Linked DNA regions of Astyanax mexicanus. The protein of the gene in region 1 interacts with the protein of each later gene in a pairwise test. Links are inferred from orthologs where the notes say so. Each region holds a gene or a part of one and is shown on either strand. Other genes may lie near its edges. The genes, in order: sergef and dph3.

Region 1 (11,881 bases):
AAATACTTTGACCATAGGGTCTCCCAAAATTCTACATGCCACTGTATTTGAAAGACACCTTTACAGAAATTACTTTGCCATCAATTTTACACTCAAAGAAATTAGCTTTCCGGTAAAATCTTTGTCTGAGCTAACGTAAACATCACTTGAATGACAAAGCATCTGTCTGATCATAAAAGTGGGATTTTATGCTGAAAATGTTCAAACTCAAAGAAATAAGTGCTTTACCAGTCAGGTGTGTGTGTGTGTGTTCATACCCGTTTGAGCAATTACATGTGTCCAGCCGCTGCATACTGCAGAAACTCTCTCTCCGTTTAGCAGTGAGCGATCTAAAGCAGAAGGAAATGGCAGGAAGGAATGCTTGCTGCACAGCTGGCCGTGTTTATTACTGCCCCACAGGAACACATCCCCAGTTTCTACGGGATCAAAACAAAATGTCAAAGCTCCCCCTCAATTAATTTAGCAACAGTAATTAGTTCCAATCTAGCAATAATGTTGGCTCTATGAATTCTGTTATAATGCTTGCTAAATTCCCCAAACACTATAGTTTTACAGTGAATTATGGGTCCACTTTTTTCCAAAAATTTGCATTTATTGAAAATGTGCTTGTAAACATTTTGAACTGTTGATGGTGACCTTGTTTTCTAAAATTATTGCTGAGATATTTTACTACAACCAGATGGACAGATAAATATTTAATTCTAAATATGAAGGCAATGCAAGAAATATTATTACTGTTATTGATTGCTGAACATGCAGTAAAGGCTTTCAGTTTCTTGAAAGGAAACAGCATGAAGGTTGTGATGGAAATGACAAAGATTGCCTTCTTAAAGGGGTTTTTATTACTCTATTTTTGTAATAATGTGTTTTATGAAACAGCGCTATACATACAAAATACACATTATATTGATACTGACCAATATTATTACAGAACTCATTGAGAAATACCTCACCTGTCAAACAGACAGAGTGGCCAGACCCTGCAGCCACTCTCTGGGAGGTTACCTGTTCCAGTCCTATGAATACAAAAAAACTAGATTAGGACAAGAACGGGAACATTTCTTGCAACAGCAATAACTGCATTAAATGAAAAGCTATACAAATCTGTATAAAAAAAGTGTTCAGTATGTTTGGCAGACCTCACACAGTCAAAGTGAGATAAACCCTTGTACACTGTGTACTGAAGAAGAATGTGTTAGGGTGTTTACCTAGGACTAAACAGGGCTCCTGTGAGTTGAGGTGGGCTGGGACAGGCTGAGGATTCAGTGCTCTTTTTGCTTGAGCAGACAGACCTGTACCCCACTGATATACAACACCTGAACCTTCTCATACACACACAAACACACACACTGTAATTGTAAGTAATGCAGGAGCAAGAGACAAAAGTATAGAATGATAGAAGTAAGGAAAATGAAGAAAGACATACCTGTTACTGCAAGTGCATGTCTCAGCCCTGCAGCTACACTGATGACTGATTCACTCAAAGACTACAAAAGCAACATTAGAAACATTGTAATTTAATTATTATTATACATATTATTATATACTATAATTATTCTACAGTATTGCAATCACACACACACACATACTGACATCTGCTAAGATATCTGTTACTTCTGTTCCAATGCGTAAAAAAGCAGCACAGCAAAGTTCAGAGTCAGTCACTCAGCTTTTTATCATATCTGACTCGAATTCAGCCAGAGAGACTGTAAAATGTGTTAAACTAAAGAGCCTTGTGGAGGACGCAGAGTAAAAAAAAAATCATCAGTCCGAACCTGATACACATGATACACACAGAAAAAGTCATATTGTGATTAACTCCAGCAAACAGCTCCATCAGCATAAAAGACCAATGGTCTCTTTTCATATGGTAAAAAAAATTTGAACATTGTGTTTCAGAGGAAATCCCATTGATGTGTTTTTGTTTAATTTATTTAAGTAATTCTTAAATTATTTTATTAGTAAACACCATTACAATAATTTGTGGGACGACTCAAATACACTGTGCATTAAAAAAAGCATTTAGTGGACACTTTTATCTAAAGCGACTTACAAATAATGATGTACATTAGCAATAGAGGACATAGAAGTCCAAGGCAAAAGATTTTTGAAAGGACCTAAAGGAGGCAAAAGGGGAATAGTGGGATAGAGCAGGAAAGGAGGGGAAGCAGGAAATGAGGTTAGAAGAAGAATAAAGCCATTGATTACAGTTGTCAGCAAGGCCTTGTGCAGGCTGGTGGCTCCCCACTGGTGTGGGGTGTATTTTTTGTTACAACATTGGTTGGGTTCACTGATGAACATAAACACATTGTTGACCAGTGCCCCTGACCATTTGTGACCTTCATGGACTTCATTTACCTCAATAATAATGGGACATTCCAGCAGGAAAATGCAATGTGCCATCAAGCCCAATTTGAACAGAACTCCTTTGAAGAGCGTTCTGAGGGCATTCCAAACAGCATGGCACATGTACATAACCATGCAAGCTAATATATAGTATGATCAGTGTTTACCTTGATGAGCAGCGGCTCTGCTGTGTGTTTTATTTGTGGTGAGACACCCAGCTGTCCAAAAGCATTGGAGCCACACGCCAAGACGCGGCCGTCATCTGCAAGATATATTTTTAAGACTGTTGCTCTCCAAGCAAGACAGACATGACTTTTCTTTAAATTGGCTGACTAATGGGTTGGTCAGGATAACTAGATTTCATTCAAGAGTAGTTGTTTAACTGGAAGCTACCTGTAAGAATAATGGTGAAGTCCCATCCACAAGATACTTGCTGAACAGTCATATTTCCAGGCAAAGGACAAAGCTGAAAGGTCATGATATCCAATATGTGTCCGAGCCCAAGCTGGCCTTTGTGATTTTGTCCACAAACCAGCAGCTCCCCTGATTCTGGAGACAGTAGAGAGAAAACAATGTGTTATTACAGAGAGGACTAATACAGGGCACCCTTGTCCACATAACCATAGTAAATACAAAACATTCTAATGATGTGTGAACTGGATGATCACTGTTCTAATTCAATTCATGTTTAAAAGGATTTTATTAACAGTCTAGCAACTAGGACCGTATAATACTGAAAAACTTTGGATTTTTTTCCCTGCAATTCGACATTTTAGCAAATGGTAATTGGCAGATATAATCTGTTTCTGTTAGATGTGTCATGAAAAATTAATACAGGTGATTTTTTCTTTTTGCTTCAAGCAACAAATAAAAAAGGGGAACATTGCACAATAGTGTACTATTTTGTCACTTATTTTTTGATTAGTCACCTTTGCTTCCTGTGGGCACAGCTCCTCCTCCAGCTTTTCCTAGCTTCAAAATAATAGAAAGAGCTGAATTTGGTATTTAAATTCCCTTTAAGTGTCCATAATACATTTTCGTGTGGAATATGCTCACATTAATTATGTAAACGTGTAATCTATTGTGTTTTGGCACATTTGATGACAAACAAAGTAAGTAGACAGCCCTTACACCCATTGCTTTTCTGTCCTCAGCCTTTTCTGTAGCGCACTGTAGTTACAAATTACTGAAATATACTGACATTTGGAGTTGACTAAATTTTGTACTTAACATTGACGATTATATAGAATAATTGCTGCAGTCCTATTGCACGTGTGTACATTGTGATAAAAATAAAAAGATCAATTCTGCCACCCTAGAGTCAACTATAATGGGTTTCACATGTCAACATTTAAAAGATATCTCACCAGTAATGAGCACTGAATGGCCGCCTCCGCCAGTAATGGCCCGTAGTTTTCTGCTGTGCTGACCATCATCCATACACTGCGGTTCCGCCTGATCTTCGGCATGGCCCTGACCCAACTGCCCAAAACTGTTTGCACCCTGAGAGAAACCACAAAACTTACGTATCATTTATTCAACCAACACTAGACTGCAATTAGTACAAAGGTATCTTCTTTTCTCCTTTCCTCTGGGTGCATCTACAAATCCAAAAAAAATATTCTCCACAAGACATAGCCAGGATAACCTCTTCAGATTGAGCCTTGGATACCCATGACCCTGTCACTGGTTCTCCAGCTGTCATTTGACTTTTGGTAGGTTCTGACTTGTACTGACTGGTGTGATAAGATCTTGTGCCACATTAAAACTGCACAGTATTTCTCATTCCCCCTAGACTTAAAATCGGCTATAGGTTGCCAGGTATGTTTAATACAAAACCCTTACTTGGGGAATTCTAAGGTCTGAAGAGGCTTGTGTAAGATCATACAGGAGAAAAGTGGTTGGGTTTATGGTAAAACCAGCTGCAGAGCTAGCGTACTGTTCTGTATTTACTGCATATGATAAATCATACATAATTTATAATCAAAAGTAAAACTTAATTGACATCCATTACAAGATGAAACTCAACTGCAGTTTGGCATTTTTATGAGTTTCAGTCAAATAAGATATTTTCAGTTATATGTGTTTCAACTTTGGGACTTTTTTTTTATATATATTTTAACACTAGGGATGCCACCTTTCAGAATTTAAAATAAGGGACGCCCACCACAGCTCCACCTGTGGGACAGGGCACCTTTATGTAATGATCACTGAACACTGTATTCCACAAAAATATAAAGATCTGTACAGATTTCTGTGTATTTTGTCAACATTTGTGAGGAATACAGTGTCTGGGGATCTCTAAATAAACATTTTATCTTAACAATTAACTGTTATTAACTGTTCATTCATTATTTTGGCTATTTAAAATATTAAATTGGCTTTTACTACTGTATATTAATAATCATTTATTCGACAAAACTCAACATGTAACCATTCTAACACCTAAACAAACAATCAAACCACAATAGTCTACTAAAATAATCTCTGCCTCATGCACTGACATCTTCTAGCAAAATCACAACCAGATAATAACATAATTACCCAGATCAGTCTCAGGAGAGGAGTGGGGGTGAAGAACTGTGAGACTGATGCTTATTGGGGTCTTTTGTTTTTTTAGTGTGGGCAGTGTTGCTCTTCTGATCCTTGCTGTCTGATATCAGACATCCCACCGCGCGCCACCAAAAACACTCGCAGACACGTTTTAAAGGGGAGTCTGTAACCGAAAGAGGAGCCCAGGGAGAAGGCATTTAGTGTTGATGTGTGGGTGTGACAGACATGCGTATTAAACATTTATGGAAATACGGAAGAAAATTGGTACATTCCGGGACTCAACACGTTGCCAAATAAAGGTGGCAACCATTTAAAAAGCAATGAGAACCGCTCCACTAGAGCATCTCTCTGTTGTTTTTCAGATGCTCGGATCCAGTCATCTAGTTATCACAGTTTGACCCTTGTTAAAGTGATGTTTATGCTTGATCATTTTTCCTGCCTCCAACAAATCAACTTCAGTAACTTTCTGTCTGCTGTATAGAGATGTTTTATGAGTGAAACTGCATGAATGAATAAACTCGCCTCATTTACAGGGTTTAATCGCACCCAGTCCCATATCTCCAGATAACATATAGCACTACTAACTAACTAACTAACTGAAAGGGACACTGCAGAAATGCTTGTTTCACGCTTTCGCCCTCTGAAACAGTGTTGTTTATTTCTTAAAAACTGTTATATGAGCTAAACCGGTGAGAAAAAGAGCACTAAACCCCGTTAATCTCAGCGCTTCGGTACAGACACTGCTCTGCTGATTCTCTCATCTCTACAGACTCCTATCAGCGCTCTCAGGAAACTCGGCAGTATTTGATAGATGGTCAGAAACCTACCCACGTGTACAAGACATGTTTTCGTATCCTCGGTGGGTCCATCAGTGGGCGCACTATGATGACGACATACATGCTGAACGCGTCCTTCAGATCCGCCATGATGTGTGTGGCCAGAACCCACTTCCTGTCTCCCCCCTTACAGCAGAAAATCACTGCGCACCGCTAGAGGGAGCCCGCCAGCGAGTCCTCAATAAATGGGGGTGAATGGAGCTAAACGGCTAAAACTCAAATTACAAATATTAATGAACTACTTATCCAGAATATTCATTAAATTATAGAACGTACAATAAAGTGTTTCACTACAAAATCAAAAGAAAACTTACTTATATGTTTCTATTTTTCTAAAGCAAACGATATTTCTGCAATAAAGACGCTAGCATTACTGATACTGTGAGCTGAGTGGTTGGTAAAGGGCGTTTTCACACAATTAACAGTTCGTATTTAGTTACATTTTAGATATTTGGGCCGGTTGGTTTTGGTTTCACACTTTTAGGGTAATTTACCACAGCATGAACAGTCCTACTGAATTACTATTTTGTTTTGTGTGGTTAAAAAAATATTTCTGTTTATAAACAAGGATTAATCTACTGTTACAGGAAAAAAAATATTCCCAGTCTGTGTTAGTGTCCATCAATTATTTTTTCCTCTGGTTTACTTTAAGACTGACTCTCTGTAAATGGTCAGAAAATCCGAAAGCATCTAGAATAGTGCTCTCACACTACATAATCTTCCGACCATGGTTCAGAAGATCTGGACCGAGACCAACTCTGGTCCTTTGGACTGAGGTTCAGGGTCCCTTTACAACCATCTACTTTGGTTCAACCCCAAACAAGGTAAGTGTGAAGGAAAAAAATCTTAACGGTAGTTGAAAAGCTTTACAAATGTCTTTTACACTAAAACATCATAAAGCCTCATATATTTAGCTGTATCCATATGGAGCCATTCATTATGACAAACCCAGAGGATGTTCTCAGGTGGATTTTTTTTTTTGATTGAGATGCAGAAACAGCGCCATCTGGCGGCGAATGCTCATTACATCATTTAGACTTTATCCTTTAGCTGTGTTTTAACGTTTAATCTGTAGACCTGTATCTATAAAAAAACAAGCTCTGTAAAGTTTCTTACAGTAATCTGTCCTTCACTGTAACTCATGACATCCATAAGTGGCATATACTGAACACCCTAGGAGCATCATAGGACAATGTTTGTTCATTTGACCTTATTCACAGAATGTATGAGTCAAAATTATGTATGAGATGAAAAGTGTATTTTTAGCTTCTACAGATCTGCTTTAACCATTTTAACAATTCAAAATCTTTAATTAAATGTTTGATATTTCATATAACTAGTTATGACATGAGTTCTAGAAAAAAATGGTAAAATTTAAGTTATGAAATTGTTCTTGTGACATTTATGTTACATATGGATTTTAACAGCCACATGCTCTTTTTTTATCACAGTAAGAAAATAAATATAAGTGTGCTTAAAACTGGGTGAAGGCTCCCCCAAAAAATCTCACAGTTGTTTTTCTTATGTTTTGTTGTTTTAAAGATGGTTTGATAATTTACAGAAAGACTACAGAAAGGCCACAGGCAGAGCTAAAATATATATGACAAATACTGCAATGCTGTACAAAAGTAAGATGCAAATAACAGACTCCAATAAAGTACAAAAATAAGTTATTTTATTATAATAAGCTTCTACACATATACACATTACAACACATTCATCTAGCCATTTGAAACCTGAAGTGTAAATCATAGTGTAAATCTGTTGTAAATGAACTGTTTGAGAATAGGAGCATCTATATTGATTAGACCAAAGTCTTAGATGTCTGATGTGTAAAATGACCCTTGCATACCCAGTGACAAATGAAAAAATGAATAAAAGCTCTGATTTTATGAAGATAAAACAAAGAGAGCATACAGGACATGAGACACAGCTAATAATAAATATAAACATAAAAATATGATAGAATTAGGTTCACACTGAGACAAAACATTACAAGTGCTTGTCCTTTTCCCCTAATAATGTGGATAGAGATAGAAAACTAGTGATACTAAAGCTTTAAGGTACAAGCCCATAATAAATATCAAATTATATGATAAAGTGCCTTATGATGCCAAGATGATTTTAATGACTTCTACACAAAAAAGCTGAAATCACAAAAACAATATATTGATGGCAGAGAGTATTACTTTATCACAATGACATTTAAAGCAAATATAATGTCCACAAGTATTGTGTAAAAGACAATAGATGAATAAGTTAATTAAATTAGTACCACTGCAAGTTTTTAAAGCTCCATGGTACTAAAACAGAAATGATGATTAACATAATTTGAAATGGATTTGAACAATGAGTGAGATATTGTCATTAGATGCACTATTGTGGATTTGGTGGAAACTGGAAACAGTTCTGTGGTTTTGCTCTTTGATGGAAAAAGCAGTGTATATAAGACGATTTGTAAGATCACTGTAAGTCATTCAGACGCCTAGATGTTTGTTGAGTCTGTTCAGCGCATCTCCCACAATGTCCAGCTCATGTCTCAGCTCCTCCACCACACTGTTGATGCTAGTTGTGTCCTTTAGGACGTCCACGCTCTGTGTGTAGGGGTTGTAACGCACTGTGAATGGCCGCTTGATTGTCTTTGCAAACTCCCTGAAAAGTGGGAAATTAATGCAATTTTAGTTGATAGCATGAACTGCATATATCGTCACTGTTCAATGAAAACCTGCATCTCCAATACAGCAGCACTAAAGGAGAGAGATAAAATTTTCTTAACTATCAACTGACATCAATGTAAAAGAGTTTATTATGTTAGATATATTTTGAAAATGTATATTGTTCCATTCAACATGAAATTTAGAAAAGGGGCAGTTCATCTATTTAAAATATATAAAAAATCTTATACAAAACATAAATGGAGATGCTTGTTTTTCACTGGGATGGTATTAAAAAGCAGTGTAAATATTGCAGGTATAAATCAATTCAAGATATGATTTACTTTCTGAATCCTCACACACCTCATTTTGACTTTGGCCTCCTCAAAGCTGTCTGACACGAAGTACACGTCCTGAAAAGTTGTGATGATGCACTCTTGTTTGCATGTAACTTTGGGGTCGAAGGGCATGATCCGGGCATTCCCCGACAGAGCGTGCTGAGAAAAGATTTATTAGCCAAATTAATTATAGTCATGCATTTTGAAGCAATGTGTAAGTACATTCATGCAGGCCACATTTATATTAACCATTAAATGTCCTCACAATAATAATAAACAAATAAATACATAAAAAAAATAATAAATAAAGTGTAATAGCATGCTAACTTTGATATCTTTTGAGATGGCACAATCAGGTTAAAATATGTTTAAATGTGTTCTACTAAAATGTGTTCTGGGATAGTGGATAGAGTGTGTGAGAGAAGTGAGCTATGAATATTACCCTCAGTTCACTGATGGAGGACAGCAGACCTGCTCCATATGCTCTCAGTTTCCCCTCCTGCTTACACAGCCCGAACTCCACAGTGAAGAAGTAACACTGAAATAGAAAGAACAACATTAATTGTCATGTTTGCATGTACATTTCAGATTGATGAACTTATACGGTGTTCTAGGTAGATATTGCAATCAGTATTTATAAAAAAGATTAGTTAAATCAATTTAGAAATCTAGCATAGGAAAGCACACACCAATAATGAGTGATATTTAGATTTAATTGCCTGTTGTTTTTAAACCAGTGAGGTGGTAATCAGTCATGATCAGTATAGATAAAGTAAAAATTATGTCATGCAATAAAATCAGCAATGATAACACAGATAATGTTCCTTTTGAAACTTACAGTGGCAAGTTTCTGAACTGCCTCATCAGATGCTCCCAGTGAAGCAAGTCCAATCTCCTGGCTGAACTGAGCGAAACTGGGCTCAGCCAAAAGAGGTACGTGACCCAGTAACTCGTGACATGTGTCTCTGAAACATACAGATCACCAAAACATTCAGTCTAACATTGAACTAAATGTTTTTGTTAACAATTAACAATACTACTATTACTGCATATTTTATGACACACGCTCATAAACAGCAATAATACATAGACAACAGTAATGGGACAACTAGTTATTCATTCTTTAGATAAATCAAGAGTATAAAAAAAAGATTATATGCTTTTTTTCAAAGCAACTGTTTCTACTGTGTAGGAAAGGCTTTCTGCTAGATTGAGCTCATCCCTAATTCTTTAACTTAATTCTGGGGGGCATTATAATCCTCTAGCTCAGGGGTCGGCAATTAAGTTTGGCCGCGGGCCAGATTTTTTCCAAGCCATTACATGGCGGGCCACAAGCACTTGGCGGGGGGGGAGATTGGCGGGCGCGGTGGCGGGAGGGCGCTCTTAAAATGACAAGCAGACATTCAAGTGGGCTGTTGTGGGTGAAATCTGTGGACTGACCATTGGGGCGCAATTAATGATATACCTGTTTGTTAAATAAAAAAAAACAAATGAATAAAAAAAAAAAATAACAGAATAAAGAAGCTAGCAGTTATCTAACAGCCCGTGGCTCTATCAAAAAATCTTTAATAAATTTTTCTGTTTTGGAAAATTAAGTTTCTAAATAAAGAGCATTTTTGAGACGGACAGTCCGATTTTTTTTTCATTATAGTTCAACCTCACGGGCCAGATGTTTCTTGCTTGCGGGCCGCATCTGGCCCGCGGGCCGCCTATTGCCGACCTATGCTCTAGCTAGTTGTTCGAAAGTAGCTGAATTAATTGATTCATTAAAAGGGGTTTTCAAAGACATTTGGTCATATAGTGTATCAGCATTTGAACATATTGTCAAAATTACACACTGACTGATTTTCCATGGAATATTTACAGAGGTATTAATTACATATGCTTGTTATATATACTTACGGTTCAGGTGTGTACAGAGGGTCCGAGCTGTGCCGGACATACTGTGTGCAGTGGAAAACACGGAAGGCCAAGCCTGCCAGGAAGTCTCTGGGGGAGAGGTATCCTGCCACAGGTCTTATGTTGAAACCGGTACGCTCTGAGAATACAACAACACATTTAACATCATAAAGAGCTTAAACAGTGAACAGTGAACACAGCATAAACAGTGAATAGTGAACAGAGGTTCTGCAAGAAGTTCTCAATGAGAATACCATCTAAACTCCCATCCACACAGACACACACTAACACCAGAGAAGACTCAGTATGTGGTGTGGTGTCCCATCTCACCTCTTAAGAAGCGTGAGACGTCTTCTAGCTGAGGAATGTTGTCCTCACGATATCCACAGTACTTGGTGAGCAGAGGTAGGTTCTTCAGGTGTTCTCGGCAGGCATGAGTGGGATACAGTTTATTTAGCTCTCGGAACACAACACCCCACGTCTTCACCTCTTCTTCCGTGAACTCAATACGGGGGATGGGGTCTCCACTGGTAAAGAAAACATATGTAACAATGTATTAGGAACAATTATTTCTAAGTAATATAAATACAAATAAATGTACTCCAAAGTTTTGTTAAGATATGCCATAGAACAAATTGTGGTTCTGTATTGTTTGTACTTTTGTACCAGAGATGTGATTCTGAACAATTTTTAGATTTTTGCTTTACTATAAAAGGTTTATCGCACAAAAAAATGTGTCTTTATGGAAACTGTGCGCTGTGGCCCCCCACTGGACAACAGTGGTACTGCTTGAAATGGATTTTCCTTTTATTAAATATAAATAAACACATTTCAAGGAAAGCAATTTAAGATTCGCCATATACCATGTAATTTACCTTACAATACTAAAACATTGCATTTAGGTCAAGATCATTGACTGGTCTTGCAAAGTACAATCACATGACTGACAAAGCTAACAAGCATCTGAGGAATACGTTTTTATCTTAATTTTGTCCTTGTTTTGTTAATGCCTTATAAACAGCCAATACGACCAATGCTGTAGAAGCCTATTATTAAGTCTGGCAGGTTACACTGATTTTTGTGCAGGTGGTGTTGTTTTTAAAATGGTTGATTGATTTTTTTAAATTTTATTTTAGCTTAACAGAGCCTTGAGTTGCCAACAACAGTCACCCAACAAAATTGAGAGTGCAAATAAAATAAATAATAAATAATTTCTTATCGGGTTACTTACTGCTTGTAACTCATGGCCAAATCT
Region 2 (12,857 bases), on another chromosome or scaffold:
TACTCACTGTATAAATACATGTTCTTGATGCCAACAGCCTGAATGATTATGTTTGATATTACTAACAACTGAATGTTAACTTGCCTTGTCGTAAATTACTTTAACTATTAATGAGCAGCTCGGACAGGTGGCCACCTCTTCACCATTTTCCAAATCCTCCTGCAAGAACACAGACAGTATGAGGAGGAGGTTAAACAGACAAACAGACTGACAGGTACAGCTTGTTTATTCACATATCTACTACAGCAGCTCGTGAGTGAGGTTAGCTATATAACCTAAATAAGGGAGAAAAGTTTTAACACCAAGATGTCAGAAAAGCAGCTTCATTTGCAGACTTTGTTTAGCCAGTGGTGGACAGAAAACTAATAATTTTTTTTTTTTTTACTGCACTTAAATATTCTTCTGTGTACAATAGGTGTTGCCACCATTTAATCCCATTCACATTATATAATTATTCACTCGGACCCCCCCACGTTTAACATAAAATATTTTGTAGCCTGGTTATATTTGCCTGTTATTTCGTTTTTTTTTTTTTTTTTAAATTAACAAATTTTTGTTGCTATATCTTATTAGTTGGTGTAAGGTGATTGATTCAGTTGCCTTCTAATCAAAAACCAGAGTAGTGAGAGAGAGAGAGAGAGAGAGAGAGAGATATAGAGAGAGAGTAATGTGCAGCTGCTTGTGTGTTGAACTGTGGTTAAAAGTTTATCTTTGTAAAGTTTAATTGTGTAAATACGGGACATTATTTCTGCAGAGCCCAGTGAGCTGTACAGAGCTAGAGCTGCAGAAAAGGGAGCTGTGTCAGACAGTAAAATAGTCATTAAATGAAGTCACTTTTGTATGTGCTTCGGACGTCCCTTCTAACTGTAACTCCACTACAATTAAAACTCAAGTATCTAAATATAAAGAGTAATGGATGTGTGCATAAAAACCAAAACACGTCAAAACAAAAGAAGCCTAAAGGTAGAATTCCAATCAGAGTGCATACTTAAGTGTGTTCTATTCTGAAGGCAGCTGCCTAGCTGAGCAGCATTTTTAGGCAGCATGCCCGCGCTCCCGAGAAAAGGACTGTCCCATTTAGAAGGCAGCATATAATCCTTCGTGGGCAGCACCCTTATTTTACCCCAATTTAGAAGGCAGCATGTATTCCTAAATGCTAAGCTAACCCCTGCTATCATGCAAGGAGAAACCCTGCTTGTAGCTAAGCTAAACCCTGTTAGATGGAATAACTGTAGATTAACCTGTAATTCAGTGATTTAATGTGTAAATAGTGGAATAGTGGAGTTATGACTGTGTTCTCACTGTAACTAATTCAGATTATTTTGTCCACAGGTATTAACGAGATTACCAGGCCAGGAGCGGCTGGAGGCATGATTTCCTTTAAATGTAACAAAGTTTTCTCTCTTAACATTATTAATTTTGCTCGTTTTCTTTTTATTGTCACTATGTTTATTATAGTTTCACATCTGAACTAGTGGATATGGGTAAATTTCTTACTTTAATTTGCAAATAAATAAGACATTTATTAAACGTGTTATGTTTTTGTTTTATGCAACTAAAATTAAAATAAACTAGCTGACTGTGTATGAATGTACTATTGTGTGAAACAGCTTAGTTTGATGATTTAGTTTTTTCGTACAAAATATTTATTATATTATGGTTACATTACTCATGCATTTCTACAAAGCAACTAATCAGAAATAAATAAATAAATAAAACTGGCCATGCTCTGAGTATAAAGTGATGTAAAGTGTATAAATTAAAATATATCAAGAATGTTTAAGTTGATTTGTAATATTTAGATTAGTAACTTGTTGCACATTAGCCGCCGCTGATTTGAGATTTATCCTGAGGTAAGTGGTTAATAACTCAAATTTGTAAACAGAGCCCACAAGCACAACACGCTAGACATGATAATAAACATTTATACAGACGCCGAATAGCCTGCCGCCGCAATCCCTAGCCCCCAGTGCATTTATATGTACTGAGGAAGGTGTTTCACACACCTACACTGCTCAAAAACAACACAATGTAACTCCCAGTCAATCACACTTCTGTGAAATCAACCTGTACTGTTAGGAAGCAACACTGATTGTGAATCAGTTTCACCTGCTGTTGTGCAAATGGAAGAGACAACAGGTAGAAATGAGAGACAATAAGGATATAAAGATATAAAGGAGTGGTTCTGCAGGTGGTGACCCCAGACCTTTCTCTGTTCTTATCCTTTTTGGCTGATGTTTTGGTCACTTTTGCATTTTGTCAGTTCTCTCACCATAGAGGTAGTATGAGGCAGTGTGTCTGGAGATGCCGTGGGGAACATTCTGCTGCCTGCAACATCCTCCAGCATGACAGATTTGGCAGTAGGTCAGTAATGGTGTGGGGAGGCACAGACCTCCATGTGCTCGCCAGAGGTACCCTGACTGCCGTTAGGTACCGTGATGAGATCCTTAGACCCATTGTGAGACCATATGCTGGTGCAGTGGGTCCTGGGTTCCTCCTGATTATCCTGCAGGTGGCTGAAGTGTGTCAGCAGTTCTTGCATGATGAAGGCATTGATGCTATGGACTGACCCACCCGTTCCCCAGACCTGAATCTAATCCAGCACATCTGGAACATCCTGTCTCTTTCCATTCACCAACATCACACTGCACCACAGACTGTCCAGGAGTCGACTGATGCTTTAATCCAGGTCTGGGAGGAGATTCTTCAGGAGAACATCCACCGCCTCATCAGGAGCAGCCCAGGTGTTGTAGGGAGGTCATACAGGCACGTGGAGCCAGCACACTACTGAGCCTCATTTTAACTTGTCTTGAAGAATTTCCACTGAAGTTAGATCAGCCAATCATTTGATTTTTCACTTTGATTTTGAGTATGATTCCACATCCAGACCTCCATGGGATAATTTTGATTTACATTGATCATTTTTAAGTAATTTTATTCTCAATGCATTCCACTATGCAATAAATAAAGATTATTCATTGAGATCTAGGATGTGTTATTTTAGTGTTCCCTCTTTTTCCTTTTTTAACAGTGTATAGTAATCACAACTCTACCTATTTTTACACAGTTTGGTTTGTTACAAGCGGCAGAGATGTAGTAATGATACAGGGCTGTCACACATTACAAATATGTGCTTTCATGCTGAAATACTTTGTATTATGCTCTTTAACAAAAAAGACAGACATATGGTATGGTACATTAATTAAATGTTTAGATTAATTTATTTTATATTTACATGTACATACATACATACATACTCTCTCTCTCACACATAATCTTTGGAGTGGGAAACCATGTCACAAAGGTTGGAGGGTAAAAAAAAAAAAAAAAAAAAAAAAAGCCTAAAATATTAGGAATAATTTCAAGAGTCAGTATATACATTTTTACAGGTAACCTAAGATTAAAACCACATTTTCCTTATGATCTCTTTGATTTTGCTTTTTAAATCACATTTCAAAAGGCGCTTTATATATGTACAATAGCTCATCACATAACCAATTTTCAATACTTGAGCAAACATTTTTAGTGTAAAGAAATATTTTAAAAAGTTTTAACTTTTGAGATTTCACAACACAGATCCAGATTTACTATATGCATGATTAACATCATACTACATAAAAAATGCATTTTATTTTGAAAATACTTTTGTCACAAAGATTTTGGCCACTGGTGTTATCAGGTGTTATCAGATATTGTTAGCTCTGTTAAACTTTCCCTGGGTCACGGGTTATCAAAGAATAAGCATCTCAAGACATGAGAAGGTGAGTCCTTACTTGCTCATTTTTAATTATTGGTGAAAAAATATTTTTTTATCAAATATATTGCCATATGTCTTTTATTTCATTGATTTAAGTAGTTACACATGGTCTCTTGACTGTCAATGAGGCAGGCTTTTCACAAAATCCTCCATTTTCACTGGTGTTACAGATGTGTAACCTTGTGGTGTTTGGCCTTTTTCACGACTTTTTTTTATATTAAAAGTATCCTGCATGAAATGTTGAAATCATTCATTCTTATATCAGTAGTTAAATTTTCATGGTTATTGGACAAAAATGTATTATTATTATTATTATTATTTTAATAGTAAAGGAAGATGCATTTAAGTATATGGAAAGAAAGGTATATTTTTGTTATTTTCAGTGCTTGTGTAAAAACATACTTTGGTAACATGTTAAGTTACATTTAGCCACATTGTAATTTCAATTAAAATAAATAAAATGAGGACAAAATTAATTCTTCAAGATGGGATAACACCAGTGACAAATTGACCAAGAATTTGCATTTTATGTTAAATATATTTATTTAATATTAATTAAATATTTATATTTATATATTAATATTTATATTCAAATCTATTTGAAATTAAGCTCTCCTTTTGCATATTTGGTAAATGGAGTTGTTAACAGACATTTTAAGGTTTTTCTGGGACAAATGAAATAGATTTTTTTTTAAATGTATCCACTTGAATTCCCACTCCAAATGGAGAATTACCTATATATATATATATATATATATATATATATATATATATATATATATATATATATATATATATATATATATATACACACACACATACATGTCTATGGACGTGATGACGTAATAGAGAGCTGAATTTGAAGGCAATGATTAAGTTACCTGGGCAGCTGCTTTCTGAATGGACCTCAGCTATAGTTTTGACCTGATAAAACAACCCATAATAGTAACTACTCTAATAACTGGGCTTTCTATTATATATATAGGTGTGTGTATTTCTAGGCTGCTCTGGATGATAGATAATAACTCGGGCAGTAGCCCAATAAGCAGTTTAACTAGCTCCAGACTGCTCATGCCCCCTGTGTAAACACTTACCTTGGTGATGGCGAATCTGTCTCCACACGGACACGGGAAGTAGTAGGTCTCCGTTTCCTCGTCAAACTCGAAATCCTCTATTTCCACCTCGTCGTGATAAACAGACATTTTAACCCAGCCGGCTTCACTCACACGAGCAGCGTGACCTGCCGTCGCAGGACTGTGACGTAGAAGATGAGTTTTGCCAATGTACCCACCCACCCACAGCACCCTCTCTCCACCAGATGCCGCTGTTTCCCACCGAGTACCATCACACTGCTGCACATACACCAATCAGACAGAACATGATCACCTCTTTCTCTTCTACATTAGCCATGCTATCAGCTCCACTGATCACTTGGGACACTGTGTAGTTCTGTAATTAGGGCCCGAGCACCGAAGGCGCAGGCGAAAATTTAAAAGTTCCATAGAGCATGGGCATGGGCGTAGTTCAGGAGCTCCATAGCGCCACCAAACGTCGGCAGTAGCCGGGATGAAGTTTGTCCAATGTGCACCAACTTTGGTATGCTCATTGACCTCCTCATAAAGAACAAGGATCACTTGGTTTTATTTGACTCCGCCCAACAGGAAGTCAGCCATTTTGACAGGAAGTTGCAAAATAAAAAGTTTCCCGCTGGGTTTCGGAGGGGTTAAAATGTTTGAAAACTCCTAATATTTTACAGAGCTATTTGGCTTAGGCCAAACTTTGACCGTAAGTTGGAAATTTGTAAATTCGTGTTTCGTCAGCTCTCTAGCGCCACCTATTTTATATCACATTAATGAAAAGCTCTCAGCCTCTTGATAATTGGCAGATTCAATTAGTCTTTGAAATGATTTAGAAATATTCTGTTGTTTTTCTCATGTGTAGCTAGAGGACTCTATAGCGCCCCCTATTTTGTTTAGGCCATTAAATTAGCTGTAGCTGTCTCAAAATTTCTCCAATATTCTCGATTTTTGGCAACAACATAGAAATTATCATCCCGCACATATTACCTATTGGCTTGTATTAGCTCCGCCCAACAGGAAGTCAGCCATATTGAAATTTGTGGAAGTTTTACACATTTTTCACAAACTCATTCAAACTCCTCCTAGATTCTTTGTCAGATTATCTCTAAATTGGGCTTGGATAGGCTCCAGACATACATGGTGATAAATTGCGAAGGAATAGTCGATAGCTGAAACGATGACGTAATGGCGGGCAGTTGATTTAATGGAGACACAACACTAAACCAAATAGAAACATTAGCATGGTCAGAACACAGCTGCTTGGAAATTCATGAAACTTGGCAAAAACATAAAAGACATCATTACACACATTTTCAGTGTTGATATGATTGACTCCGCCCAACAGGAAGTCGGCCATTTTGAAAAATGTGCATTTTACACACATTTTTTGCATACTTTGTCGAACTCCTCCTAGGGAACTTGTCGAATACGCTTGATATTTGTCAGCAATAAACTACTAACACCCCTAATGATAAATTGCAAAGGAATAGTCGATATCTTAAACGTGGACTAAATGGCGGACAGTTGAATTGCTTCAGATGCCCCATTAAAACAGGAAGTGAATACATTCTGGTGCTGGTAGGTGTTTGAGGAGGTTAAAATGGATGAAAACTTACGAAACTTTACAGGCCTGCTTGATTTACGTGGTCCTTTGATCTGAAATTGAAATTTCATATATACATATTTCATTGGCTCTATAGCGCCACCTAGGTTTCAATGCATATTTGACATTACGAGGATGGTCAAAAACTCTTGAAAATGGTCAGATTCCATAAGACCTAGAAACACTTTACAAATATTGTAATAATTTTTTCATGTGTAGCTAGCAGACTCTACAGCGCCCCCTAATTTGTTCGGTAAATAAATTAGCTGTGAATGTGTCAAATTTTGTCTAATCTTCTCAAATTTTGTTAGGAGTGTAGATAGTGTGACCCTGCACATATTTGCAATTGGCTTGTATAGCTCCGCCCAACAGGAAGTCGGCCATATTGGAATTTGTAATATTTTTACACATTTTTCACAAACTCATTTAAACTGCTCCTAAAGTCTTTATCAGATTAACTCTTATTTCGCTGTAAATGAACAACAGACATATTTGATGAAAACTGCCAAAGGATTAGTTGATCGCTAAAACGGTGTCGGAATGGCGGACAATTGATTTACTAGAGACGCAACACTAAACCAAAGTGAAACAATGACACGGTCAGAACACAGATAATTGAAAATTTCTGAAACTTGGCAAAAACACAAGAGACATCATTAGACACGTTTTTAGTATTGGTAGGACTGACTCCGCCCAACAGGAAGTCGGCCATTTTGAAATAATTGCATTTTACACAATTTTTTTGCATACTTTGTCAAACTGCTCCTAGGGAACTTGTCGAATACTCTTGATATTTATCAGCAATAAACTACTAACATACCTGAGGATAAATTGCGAAGGAATAGTAGATATCTTAAACGAGGACGAAGTGGTGGACAGGTGAATTGCTTGAGATACCCCATTAAAACAGGAAGTAAACACATCTTGGTGTTGGTAAGTGTTTGGGGAGGTTGCAATGGATCAAAACTTTACAGGACTGCTTGACTTACGCTCTCCTTTGATCTGAAATTGAGATTTCATATATACGTATTTCATTGGCTCTAAAGCGCCACCTAGCATTCAATACAGAGTTTACATTACGGGAATGCTCAAAAACTCAAAAAAAAAATTGGCCGCTACAATATAACTGTACATTTCATGAGAAATCACATATGGGTCAAATTTTCACCGGTTTCTCGGTTTGGCCCGGTACGATTTGCGCTGATATGCGAGGGCCCTACGTCCCCCTGTGACAGGGGGACAACTCGTTACAGACTGTAGTCCTGTATCTGTTTAGATAACCAGTATGACCAACAACACCAAGCTAGATAACCATTATGACCAACCACATCGCGCTAGATAACCAGTATGACCAACCACATCACGCTAGATAACCAGTATGACCAACAACACCAAGCTAGATAACCAGTATGACCAACCAGACCAAGCTAGATAACCAGTATGACCAACAATATAAAGCTAGATAACCAGTATGAACAACCACATCAAGCAAGATTTCCAGTATGACCAACCACATCAAGCTAGATAACCAGTATGACCAACCACATCAAGCTAGATAACCAGTATGACCAACCAGACCGAGCTAGATAACCAGTATGACCAACAATATCAAGCTAGATAACCAGTAAAACCAACCAGACCAAGCTAGATAACCAGTATGACCAACAATATCAAGCTAGATAACCAGTATGACCAACCAGACCGAGCTACATAACCAGTATGACCAACAATGTCAAGCTAGATAACCAGTATGACCAAACAGACCGAGCTAGATAACCAGTATGACCAACAACATCAAGCTAGATAACCAGTATAACCAACCAGACCAAGGTAGATAACCAGTATGACCTACAAAATCAAGCTAGATAACCAGTATGACCAACCAGACCGAGCTAGATAACCAGTATGACCAACAACATCAAGCTAGATAACCAGTATGACCAATCAGACTGAGCTAGATAACCAGTATGACCAACAACATCAAGCTAGATAACCAGTATGACCAACCAGACCAAGCTAGATAACCAGTATGACCAACAACATCAAGCTAGATAACCAGTATGACCAACCAGACCGAGCTACATAACCAGTATGACCAACAATATCAAGCTAGATAACCAGTATGACCAATCAGACTGAGCTAGATAACCAGTATGACCAACAACATCAAGCTAGATAACCAGTATGACCAATCAGATTGAGCTAGATAACCAGTATGACCAACAACATCAAGCTAGATAACCAGTATGACCAATCAGGCAGAGCTAGACAACCAGTATGACCAATCACATCAAGCTAGATAACCAGTATGACCAACAACATCAAGCTAGATAACCAGTATGACCAACCAGACTGAGCTAGATAACCAGTATAACCAATTACATCAAGCTAGATAACCAGTATGACCAACAACACATAGCTAGATAACCAGTATGACCAACCAGACCGAGCTAGATAACCAGTATGACCAACAATATCAAGCTAGATAACCAGTATGACCAACCACATCATGCTAGATAACTAGTATGACCAACAACACCAACCTAAATAACCAGTATGAACAACCACATCAAGCAAGATATCCAGTATGACCAACAACATCAAGCTAGATAACCAGTATGACCAACCACATCAAGCTAGATAACCAGTATAACCAACCAGACTGAGCTAGATAACCAGTATGACCAACCAGACCGAGCTAGATAACCAGTATAACCAATTACATCAAGCTAGATAACCAGTATGACCAACAACACCAAGCTAGATAACCAGTATGACCAACCAGACTGAGCTAGATAACCAGTATGACCAACAATATCAAGCTAGATAACCAGTATAACCAACCAGACCAAGCTAGATAACCAGTATGACCAACAATATCAAGCTAGATAACCAGTATGACCAACCAGACCGAGCTACATAACCAGTATGACCAACAATATCAAGCTAGATAACCAGTATGACCAAACAGACCGAGCTAGATAACCAGTATGACCAACAACATCAAGCTAGATAACCAGTATAACCAACCAGACCAAGATAGATAACCAGTATGACCGACAAAATCACGCTAGATAACCAGTATGACCAACCAGACCAAGCTAGATAACCAGTATGACCAACAACATCAAGCTAGATAACCAGTATGACCAATCAGACTGAGCTAGATAACCAGTATGACCAACAACACCAAGTTAGATAACCAGTATGACCAACAACACCAAGCTAGATAACCAGTATGATCAACAACACCAACCAAATAACCAGTATGAACAACCACATCAAGCAAGATATCCAGTATGACCAACCACATCAAGCTAAATAACCAGTATGACCAACCACATCAAGCTAGATAACCAGTATGACCAACCAGACCGAGCTAGATAACCAGTATAACCAATTACATCAAGCTAGATAACCAGTATGACCAACAACACCAAGCTAGATAACCAGTATGACCAACCAGACTGAGCTAGATAACCAGTATGACCAACAATGTCAAGCTAGATAACCAGAATAACCAACCAGACCAAGCTAGATAACCAGTATGACCAACAACATCAAGCTAGATAACCAGTATGACCAATCAGACTGAGCTAGATAACCAGTATGACCAACAACATCAAGCTAGATAATCAGTATGACCAATCAGGCAGAGCTAGACAACCAGCATGACCAATCACATCAAGCTAGATAACCAGTATGACCAATCAGGCAGAGCTAGACAACCAGTATGACCAATCACATCAAGCTAGATAACCAGTATGACCAATCAGGCAGAGCTAGACAACCAGTATGACCAATCACATCAAGCTAGATAACCAGTATAACCAATTACATCAAGCTAGATAACCAGTATGACCAATAACACCAAGCTAGATAACCAGTATGACCAACCAGACTGAGCTAGATAACCAGTATGACCAACAACATCAAGCTAGATAACCAGAATAACCAACCAGACCAAGCTAGATAACCAGTATGACCAACAACATCAAGCTAGATAACAAGTATGACCAATCAGACTGAGCTAGATAACCAGTATGACCAACAACATCAAGCTAGATAACCAGAATAACCAACCAGACCAAGCTAGATAACCAGCATGACCAACAACATCAAGCTAGATAACCAGTATGACCAACCAGACCGAGCTAGACGACCAATATGACTAAGCTAAATTAAGGCCCAATCCGATTTCACCCCTTGCCCCCCCTGTCTTGCTGGAACAGTGTTGATATTTCTGATCACATGTGATTTTTCAGATTTCCATGAGAAGACCTGCTTCATGTTTAAATGCAGAACTATAGTAAATAGATAAACTGACCGGTTAATGAGGTGAGGTGGACTGTATTTGCTCAGTAGAATGAGTTTCTATGTTAATTGTACGCTTTTTTGCTCATTACATAACTCATCCCGTTATTTCCTCTGTTCCTCTGATAAGATGTAAACACTCTTGCGTAATCGACGCTCTTCAGTGTAAACTCTATTTCTGGTTCTGTGAAAAGTCAGTATAGTAAATAGGAAATTGGGTTTGGAATGAAATCTGATTGTGCAGTTATCTAATGCAGAGTTAATAGGGTATCCTCTGGCGAGGTAAGTGAGATGACCCTGAACAGCCCACTGTCTTGGAAAGTCAACAGAACATTATTAAATAAAGTCAGCTATGCTTAATATGCTTAAACAGAGAGTTTAAATCTAAGTATTCCAAGAACTAGAGAACATGTCTTATCCGTAGTTTCTAAGAATCTCATCAGTGCTATCTCACTGTTTTTAGGTTTAAGTAGCCTAATTTAGGTTTAATTAAACGTGTATTTTAAGCTGTGTTGAGAACTCTATAAAATAAGAATTTTAGCTTCCACAACTTGATACCACATTTCCCCCAAATATTTTCTTAACTTAAAACTTAAAATGTAGTGTGTCTCTGACTTTTTGCTCAATTAACTTGATAAAAATCATTCAAAAAAGTTCAATCAAAAGTCAATCAAACTTTGCTGTATTGATTGATATATTGTCAGAGAATAAAGGTCTGACTATTAAATAATATATGTAAATAAAGTGTTTTACATTTTTTAATTTATGTAGTTGGTCTAACAATATGTTATCTACTAATTTAAGCTAATACCTGTAAATTATTAATGGAAGCCTGTACTTAGCCAGCATATAGTCACACTTAGCAACACAAAACATGGCAACTTCCTCTTATAGTCTTCAACACTGAGGACAGGCAATCACTACATAAGATACACACATGGGCCTGGGTGCAGCGATTACACCCCAGTGGTGAATAAGAGGTGGGAGGACACACCCAATATGCAAATAGATATTATCAATGGAAAAGATAAGAACGTTTGTCCAAAATAATGATAGTGCACACAAAATCACCTGTGTAACACATCAATGTAATAAAAATGATTGAATCTTAAACCCCTGCAGAACTGCTCTGTAGACCCTGTTCAACTAAAGATTCAGAACAAACTGTACATTTTGCCAACCCAAGTTCTCTAGTCGGGGTGACTTTTACCAAGAAATTGTTGAGTTGAGTTGTCTTAAAAATGACATTAAGAAGATTTTTTTTAGGTGGTAGAGGAAATGTGAAGGAACATAGGAGGTAGATGTTTTCAGGACGTTGGATCTGTTTGCCTTTGACATTTTATGAACAAACTTTCTCAATAATAGTTTTGAAGGCCCTGTTACTTTATGACAGCACTAAATACTGCATACTGAGTGTTATTGTCACATCTTAGCCTGTGTCTGTCTTGTGTTTTTTTCTCTTTTGGTTCCATGTGCCTCTGCCCTCTGTTTTCCTGTATTGTGTTCCCAGCTATGTGCTCATTTAAGCACATGGCCTTGTTTAGTTATTGTCTTGTCTCCGCTCTACCCATTAATGTTGTCACCTTGTGTCTTGTTTGTAACCACGCCCCTTCGTTACTGGTCCCAGGTGTATCCATCTTTATTGACATTCTGATTGTGGTGTCTGTTAATTTCTGTTTTTTGCTATTAGTATTTGTCCTTTTGGTTTGTTTGCATGGTCATGACAGTTTGGTTGTGTGGTCATTATTGACCCTTTGCTAACATTTATTTGATATTTGATTTGATCTGGTTCATTTGTTTACGGTTTTCTCTTGCTGTCGTTCTAACTTTTATCTGTTAACTTTTACATCTGCAAGCTTCTTACACATATTTAGACAATGGGATTGTAATAAAGTTTGTCTAAATACCGAAAACACATAAAACCAAAATAGAAACGAGATAAGCTGTTTTCCTTTTTTTTTTCCTCTATTATTTGCCTCCTCTGATACATGTAAATTGTACCGCCTCCTCTTTTGTAACTGATGCCAATCAATGCAGCATTCCGGACCTCTAGTACTGATATATTAGCTAACTGACACCTGTGCTTGGGTAGAGCACCACCTAC

Evidence for each region.
Region 2: the proteins of sergef (region 1) and dph3 interact in binary tests that used the Homo sapiens proteins (3 or more experiments, as listed by UniProt). The link is inferred for Astyanax mexicanus from reciprocal best matches to the Homo sapiens genes SERGEF and DPH3.

The regions. Positions count from the first base shown.
Region 1 is NC_064409.1:48,172,282-48,184,162, forward strand, and holds the start of sergef (secretion-regulating guanine nucleotide exchange factor), read right to left. Parts: upstream 5,816-11,881; 5' UTR 5,799-5,815; coding exon 5,727-5,798; intron 5,063-5,726; exon of another isoform or gene 4,891-5,062; intron 3,850-4,890; coding exon 3,714-3,849; intron 2,896-3,713; coding exon 2,740-2,895; intron 2,609-2,739; coding exon 2,514-2,608; intron 1,488-2,513; coding exon 1,427-1,487; intron 1,323-1,426; coding exon 1,209-1,322; intron 1,017-1,208; coding exon 954-1,016; intron 417-953; coding exon 258-416; intron 1-257. Other genes in the region: tph1a (tryptophan 5-hydroxylase 1a), read right to left, coding at 8,213-8,387, 8,753-8,886, 9,170-9,265, 9,566-9,692, 10,630-10,765, 10,957-11,153, 11,858-11,881. UniProt on the Homo sapiens protein: Probable guanine nucleotide exchange factor (GEF), which may be involved in the secretion process.
Region 2 is NC_064412.1:43,331,616-43,344,472, reverse strand, and holds the start of dph3 (DPH3 homolog), read right to left. Parts: upstream 5,019-12,857; 5' UTR 4,960-5,018; coding exon 4,852-4,959; intron 160-4,851; coding exon 85-159; intron 1-84.